Oryctolagus cuniculus: one gene and its partner. The protein of the gene in region 1 interacts with the protein of each later gene in a pairwise test. Links are inferred from orthologs where the notes say so. Each region holds a gene or a part of one and is shown in the gene's direction. Other genes may lie near its edges. The genes, in order: SUPT20H and MAPK14.

Region 1 (3,810 bases):
TTTATTAGGAATTTCTAAGTTGATGTTAGAAACCTGTAAACCTACCCACTCCCAATTTTGGGGGAGTTGTAGGAAATACAGAAAAGCTTAAAATAGGGAAAAATTACAATAACATGTTTCATAATTATTATATTAATGTTATTTTGTGTATTTGTTTCATCCTTTTTTTTAGAAAATCTGTATTTCAAAAACTCTATGATTTATATATTGAAGAATGTGAAAAAGAGCCTGAGGTTAAGGTAAGTATAAATTTTCTATGGTATTAAAGCTTTGAAATGTTGAGGAGGGAAATTTGGAAGAGTTCCATTTGAAGTAGTTAATGATTTATGTTTGGAGAGGAAACTAACATCTTTTGCAACAAGACTATAGTCAGTCCTGCAGCTGACTCAGAACATCGGTTATTCTGGCCCTAGGCAGAGGTCAGCTGCTTAGCTAGGATGAGGGAACAGTCTTTACTAAGTAACACTATCTCACTGGGAGCTCATAAGTAAGGCGACTTTATGCCTTTCTCTTGTTTCTTCTCCATCTGAAGTGAACTGTAAACTTAGGAAGAAAGTAACCTACTTTATAGTGATTTGCACTGGAAAGTCAAAGCTATTACAGGAGGTATAGGAAATTCTAGTGTGATGAGAAAAGGTAGATTTGGTCACAAAATGAGTTCATGGTTAGTTATGTTTAACTTTTAATTCATTCCTATTTAACATAAATGTATGAACAGTAGAAATGTAATAGAAATTGATTTCTTGATAGCTTTTGAACTCTTTTTGGAAGGGCCTTAAAGGACTCGATGAATTTTTGTTGTCTTTAATTTTAAAATGTATACCATTTTACCATTTGGGCAGAAAACAGTGGAATTTCAATAGTGTGTCCACTTTAAAGTCTTTGAATTAGGAAAAGATGCTAAATTTACAAATAAGTTTTATGATATATATTCTGTAAGTTTTACTCAGATACACTTGACATAAAATAAATTGGACAAGTTTAAAGTGTGTACTTTTTAAGTTTTGACATGAATAAAGTGTATGCTTGTGAAGTCATCACCACACTCAACATAATGTACATTCTGTCACCTCAGAGACACAACTAAGATAGGAAAGATACGTTGCTCCCCCTCTTCCTGGAGGAACGACACAGGACCCTGCGCTGTTTTGTCTGCTCGGCCCTTCCCGGGTTTGCTGCTGGTTCTTCCCGGTTGGCTGCCGTCCCTCCACCTCCGTGGAGGGGCGGGCCCCCCTGCCACTTTCCCCACTTCTGCGGGGGAGTGGCACACCACCGGCCGGCTCTCTAGGGGGCTGCTCAGATGTTATCCGCATGTTCCCCTTAGATGTTCCTGGTGCATGTTGTCTCTCTCCTCCTTTATAGTCCTCTTCCACCAATCCCAACTCTGCTACCCACACGCCGAGTACGCTGCTCTCCTCCAATCAGGAGCAGGATCAGCTCCTGCAGGTTACTGGTCGAACTGGAGGCAGCTGGGTAAAAGTTGTTTACTCCTCTCCCAGCGCCATATTGTGAGAGAGCAGATGCATAGAATAAGTCTTAATTCCAGTAACTTAGTCTAGTCCGAGTTGCTCCCCACAAGATACATTTGTAATGATTCTAAAGTGAGGTTGACAAGCCCCTGTCTACCAATCAAACCTGGCCAACTGCATGTTTTTGTAAATGAATTTTTATTGGAACCTGCCACACAGGTTTGTCTAGGCATTTGAGGTACAAAGGTAGAGTTTGTGCAGTTGCAACACAGGCCACATGACCCACAAACCTAGACACTATCTGAAACTTTAAGAAATTTCCCAGACTCTGGTTTAAGTGAGATCATCTTAGTGGTAGCCAACATGTTTTCCTGAAGAGGTATACGTAACTGTCATAATTTTTCTAATTCTGTCATAAATTATGATGGTTTTGTCTATATTGAAAAAAGTGTTTAATTTCTCTTTGGTTTTGTTTTTTCTTCACATTAAAGTAGTTAAATGTTGTTTACCATTTTTGCCCTTTTCAAGTTGCATAGTGTTTGATTTTATGGTGATAGTCAAGAATTTATAATTCCTCTGTAATTCTTCTTTGCATATGGCTGTGTACATATGTGTGTGCGTATAAAATACTCAAAAACAGATGAAGTTTTTGGGGAGATTTTGCAAAAGTAATATTCTCTTGAACCAGGTGTCTTTTTTAAATAAGATTTGATTAAGTAAATTATTATATCTATTTCAGTGTGTTTTATTTTAAATGATGTACATTTCTAGCCATGGATTTTGATATATGTGTGATATGTTTCCTGATGGCTTTTTAAATGAAAACAAAGTAGCTTCTGAGGAGGTGTTGAATTGAATTCTTAGAAAATTGTCATAACTTCTTTCTCCCTCTTACCAATTAGATATTTTTTAGATTTAATGTTTTCTTGATTAGAGCTGTTGAACTTATTTGGATCTAATTTAGGTTATAAAATATTTAAGAAATGTGCATTTGTTACCATACAATCAAAATGAATGCTGCAAATTTATAAGAAATAGAAATTAATAATGCATCATCTGTGTTTTGTATATTTATATTTAATGGTTTTAATGTTTTATGTATTTATATTTTTCTTTTGTGGATCACCAGTTTTTCTTTCTGATGTGGATGAATGTATATAAAACTTAGTAGCTCAAAATTAAGTTTCCATGAGTGTCCCATCATGGTGGCTATTTTTGTATTATGTGAGAATGCAGAATGCCTCTTTTATAGATTTTTATTTTTTATTTTTGAGATTTTTAAATTTATATTATAGTCAAATGCTTACTGCTCCACTAAATATAGAGTCCAACAAATAAAAGGTAAAAAGCCCAGAGTTGAGCAGGAAAATAGGCAAGGGCTATAAACAGTAACCAAATGAAAAGATGTTGAACTTGATAGTGGCTATCTGCTTGCAAATAGTTCCCATATATTCAAGATCATAATGTGGAGGGAGCAGTAAAATATTCATGTAGGTTTTGTTCAATCATCATACTACTTTTTAAGATTCTACTGGATTATTTTCATGAGCTCTGCCTCTTTTTAAAGCAGAAAATAAGAAGAAATGTGAACTTGTTGGAAAAGCTCGTTATGCAAGAGACTTTGTCATGTTTAGTGGTCAATCTTTATCCAGGAAATGAGGGATATTCTCTGATGCTCAGGGGAAAAAATGGATCAGGTAAGACCCTCCAGAGCACAGCTGCCACAAAGGTTCTGCCCGTGGAGGAGGATGTGCTTTTTTTTAAATAGTTTCTTAACTTGCTAAATGGTTTATCCTTTAGATTAGGGATGACTTAGTAATAAATGTAGATTTAGATCTTAAATTTATCTCCTTGTATTTTTGGTAAGAAGATTAGAAAGTCTCTCAGCTGTGTATAGTTATCCTTCCAGAATATGCACTTGACAGTCAGGTTATAAAAGACATAATTTTTAAATGATTGCCAAAGTTTCGTTTTGTTCTGTTGCTGTTTGTGCTTTAAGATAGCCTAAGCTATTTGAAGGTATGCTCTTTCTTCTGCATTTTAAATATACTGAGTCTGAAACCTTCAAATGTAATCAGACTCACTGCCCTTTGAATAATTCTATTGTAAATATGAAAATAGTTTTAAAATGTAAATACTCTTAGATTTCACTAAAAAGCCATTTAATTTTCATATGTTGATAGTAATATGAGTCCTACAATGAGATGAGTTTACCTAGTTAAGAGTTTTTCTTGCATTGATTAATTGTGAAACATAACGCCAAGACAATTTTCAAATTATCAGTGATTTCCAGTTTAGATTGATCACTGGGTTTCCAGTTAATTTTGACAGTGGATATTTA
Region 2 (4,328 bases), on another chromosome or scaffold:
CTCTTGCCGGTGCCGTTCCACGCGGCCGTTCAAAGCAGAGGCGGGAGATAAGCTTCCAGGCACCGTCGTCAGCCACTCACTCTACCAATATTGACCGAGCGAGCGCCCGCGACGTGCGGGACCCCGCTGCGGGCGGCGGACCCAGCCCGGCCCGCGACCCGCGACTCTCTGCCTGCAGCCCCGCCTCCCGGGCGGCCCTGGCAGCAGCTCACCTGTTTCCCCGCCCGAGGCGGGAGTGCGGCGGGCGGCTCGGGTCTCCCAGGGCTCTGGCCTGGCTGGCAGCGCTGCCGACCCGGACGCCGGCGGTTCCCGAGCCGTTGCGGCCGAACCCGCGGGCGTTCGGGGCGGGCGGGCAACGAGAGCGGGGGCGAGGAAGGAGAACACGGCCGTGGGAGCCCTCGGCCCCTGTCCTGGGGTGGCCCTCAAAGGATCGGAGGACAAGATAGACTCCCATCCTTGCGCTCAGGGTAGCAGGCGTTAGCACGGGCCGGGCCAGCACCAGTAGGTATGGGCCTGGGGTTACAACACTTGCCCACTCGCGGGTATTTTCTTGTCCCTATGAGGTGGGAACGGAGGACCGGAGTTCTCTTGCAACTGAGCAGGGCCTACCGGCTTGCCTAAAAGCGACATTGCCACAAGCGCACTCCCTGCTCCTCCGCCTTCCTGGGAGAGCCCCCACTTAAAATCTCCAAGTCCTCTTCTCAGGACTGCTCTTGGGGCCGAAGTCGGTTTATAAGCTTCGGGGCCACGGCTTTTAAGACACATCAGAGCCACCTGTACGGCCCCGACCCCCGCAGAGGCCCCTGAGGGTCCCGGGGCGACCTTTGCACCCGTTCGGGTGCAAAGTCTCGGCTTCCAGCGGGGCTAATATTTGTCTTTGGGGCCGATTTCGTCAGCGTCCCGGAGGGTTAGCCATCTGTCCATGAGCACACGGGAATGCGACGGCCTTCTGACTGGAACCAGTTTTTGACGCCGGTATTTCTTGGAAACGGCGGAGTTCCACCGAGCAGGTGCTCGGCCGCAGTTCCAAGATCTGTTGGCTCTTTTCCCGACACGCTTACTCGTCCCCGTCGCTCTCCGCAGTGGTCAGGCACTACAGCCCCACCAACCACAGTGGGGCGCGCGCGGCCTGTGGTGCGCGAGCATCCCCGCCTTAGCCGTCCGCCTCGGCGCCCCGAAGAACAGTCCCCGGGAGTTCCTGCCTCTGGGCTCCAGCTGTTGCTCTCTTCTCGCGAGAACTGCTCCTCCGGCGCTCTCTCCTCCCGAACCCCCTCCCGCGGGGAGGTTCCATATTGGGTAAAATCTCGGCTCGCGGAGAGTCCCGGGAGCTGATCTCGCGAGAGGACGGCAGGCGGCTCCTGTTCGCTGGCTCTGGAACTGCGACCACTGGAGCCTCAGCTGGCGCTGCAACTGGAGCGGGAGTCCAGCGGCACGGCCCGCCGTCGGCCCGGCCCGGGAGAGGGTGCAGGGAGACCCCGGCGGGCGCAGCCCTCAGCCTCGGAGCGCGCTCCTGCCCTTTGCCGGGCTCGCCTCGGTCCCTGAGGCGCGTCCAGCAGCTGCAGCTGACAGGGGCCGCACGCGCGGGTGTCTGCGGGGGTCTCAGCAGCCGCACCTGCGCGGCGGCCAGCGCGAGGTCCCCGCCCGCCTGGGCGGGCGACGAGGGCCGGGGAGCGGGCGTGGGTGCAGGCGGGGGCACCTCAGGGCCACCTCCTCGCCCCGCGGCCGTCGCTGGAAAATGTCTCAGGAGAGGCCCACGTTCTATCGGCAGGAGCTGAACAAGACAATCTGGGAGGTGCCCGAGCGTTACCAGAATCTGTCCCCGGTGGGCTCTGGCGCCTATGGCTCCGTGTGGTGAGTGTTGCTAGGCCCGGGGCCGCGGTGGGTAGGGTGGCCCCTGGTGCCCGAGGGCCAGGCCTGCCCCCGCGGCTCCGCTATGCGCCCAGCGGCAGGAATTTCCCCCGAGGGAGAGCATGGCTGTCCCTGCACCCCCTGCATCCCGCAGCCTGCACGCCCAGGGCGGTGGTCCATTGCGTGCAGGCGCAGGTCCGCTGTGGGCGGTAGGTGGTGGTGCTGGCTGGAGCTCGCTCCTGGCGCACGCCCTGCGCTTTCGTTTCGCTGAGCGCTGCTCCCCCCCGGGGGGCAGGCCCTGGGGGAGGGGCGGCTGTTCTGCGGGGAGCTGGGGAGGGGGGTCCCTACGAACACTTTGCAGAAGGACCCTCTCCCGGGGGTGCACCCGTCCCGGGGGCGCGGACGACCCGGGGAGCTGCGGGAGAAAGCAGAACCCGGTTGGGAGATCGGGTGGTCTGAACAAAACTGACGACGAAGGTAGCCCCCTCCAGGCTTTTCTTTCTTTCCTTCTTTTTTGCAAACCTCTGTGGAAATCCCGTCTGGAGAAGCGTTCTTTTTGAATTCGCAGCGACCCATAGGGCTTAAAATATCGGCTTTATCTCGGCGAGCCCTGTGCCAGCTTGAGTGGTGTGTTTCCGATTCGGTCGAGAGCGTGTTTCCTTTCCGTGGAGGGCGGCGGTGGTGGCTGCCGCTTGAGAAACTGGCGGCCTGGCTGATTAGTCACATACCACTGCTCATTTAAAGTATTGTTTGACGAAGCAGGGTTCTCACGGGGAGCAGGGGAGCCTCGGATCCCTCCGCCGCGTGCCCTCGAAACCCAAAAGTCGCTCACGGTGCAGGGAGCTACTGTGAATATTTGAAAGTTGAGATAATTCCTGTGAATCGTGTATTTTTAAGGCCCCTTGGAGAGTGTGCAGAGACCTTATCTGTGGCTATGGCCTGAGATACACTTGGTTTTCGTTAGGATCGGGAACTTCCAGGAGAAGAAAGTTAGACACCGGCCAGCTGTCCTTTACAAGGTGCCTGTATTTAAGTTGACACCAGGACATTTCCAGACCTGAAGTATTTCACTGACTTCTCTAACTTCCAAGGCCTTAGACACTGTATTTTATACTTAGTATCTTTTGAGAGCTCCTGATCTGAAACTAAGTGTCCGGCTTCATAGTAAGCTTTTTCCTGTTTTATCAATTCCTGGGCATGCATGGGTGGAAAAGGAGCTAGGAAAATGCTTTTTTTGTTTTGTTTTGTTCGGAACAAATTCCAGGCTTTTGGATTTGTTCATCTTTAAATATGATTCCCGTGTTTCTTAAAATCACATCATGAATTTCCTGTTTGGTAGAATCTTCTGGGTAATTGAGATTGTGCAATTGTGTCCAGCAACAGATCGTATTGCATTTTCTAGTTCAAGCCGCTTGAGTAATGCTGCAGGTGTCACCGTGGCTGACATCTTTCTCCCACTTTTACGCTGTGGCAGTTAACCTTTTCAAGGAATTTGAAGCTTTTTTAGTTAGTATATATACTAGTTATTGATTTGCTAATTTTCAGAGGTGTATTTAGATAATTGCTCCTTTAAAATTTAAGGACTCTGTGGCCAGCGCTGTGGTGCTGTTATCCCACATGTGCGCAGACTTGAGTCCTGGTGGCTCCACTTCTGATCCAGCTCTCTACTGTGGCCTGGGAAAGCAATGGAAGATGGCCCAAGTCCTTGGGCCCCTGCACCCAGGTGGGAGATCCAGAGGAGACTCCTGGCTCCTGGCTTCAAATCAGCCCAGCTCTGGCCTTTACAGCAGATGAAAGACCTTTCTCTATGTCTCTCTTCTCTCTGTCTGTAACTCTATCACTCAAATAAAATCTTTGAAAAAAAAATTTATGGGCTCATTAATATACCTCCATTTTTCATTCTTTTTAAGGTTTTATTTATTTATTTGAGAGGTAGAGTTACAGGCAGTTGAAAGGGAGAGATGGAGAGATAGGTCTTCAATCCGCCAGTTCACTCCCCAAATGGTCACAACCGCTGGAGGTGGGCCAATCTGAAGCCAGGAGCCAGGAGCTTCTTCTAGATCTCCCACATGAGTACAGGTGCTTAAAAATTGAGCCATTTTCTACTGCTTTCCCAGGCCTCAACAGAGAACTGGATCGGAAGAGGAGCAGCCGAGAATCAAACTGCCGGGACTCAAACTGGCACCCATATGGAGATTTAACCTACTGCACCACAGTGCCACCCCCTCCATTTTCCATTTTTTTTAAAAAAAATTATGTATTTGAAAGGCAGAGTTAGAGGGAGAGAGAGAGAGAGAAAGCTTCTCCCTGGTTCACTCCTCAAATGGCTGTAACAACCAGGGCTGGGTTAGGCTGAAGTCAGGCACCTGGAACTTCATCCTGGTCTCCCATGTGGGTGAAGGGGCCCAAGCACTTGGGCCATCTTCTGCTGCTTTCCCAGATACGTTAGCTGGGAGATGTATAGAAGTGGAGCAGCCAGG

The links.
Region 2: the proteins of SUPT20H (region 1) and MAPK14 interact in binary tests that used the Homo sapiens proteins (3 or more experiments, as listed by UniProt). The link is inferred for Oryctolagus cuniculus from reciprocal best matches to the Homo sapiens genes SUPT20H and MAPK14.

What each region holds. Positions count from the first base shown.
Region 1 is NC_091440.1:77,037,918-77,041,727, forward strand, and holds part of SUPT20H (transcription factor SPT20 homolog), read left to right. Parts: intron 1-172; coding exon 173-239; intron 240-3,036; coding exon 3,037-3,166; intron 3,167-3,810. UniProt on the Homo sapiens protein: Required for MAP kinase p38 (MAPK11, MAPK12, MAPK13 and/or MAPK14) activation during gastrulation.
Region 2 is NC_091436.1:133,478,817-133,483,144, reverse strand, and holds the start of MAPK14 (mitogen-activated protein kinase 14), read left to right. Parts: upstream 1-1,372; 5' UTR 1,373-1,735; coding exon 1,736-1,851; intron 1,852-2,443; exon of another isoform or gene 2,444-2,578; intron 2,579-4,328. UniProt on the Homo sapiens protein: Serine/threonine kinase which acts as an essential component of the MAP kinase signal transduction pathway.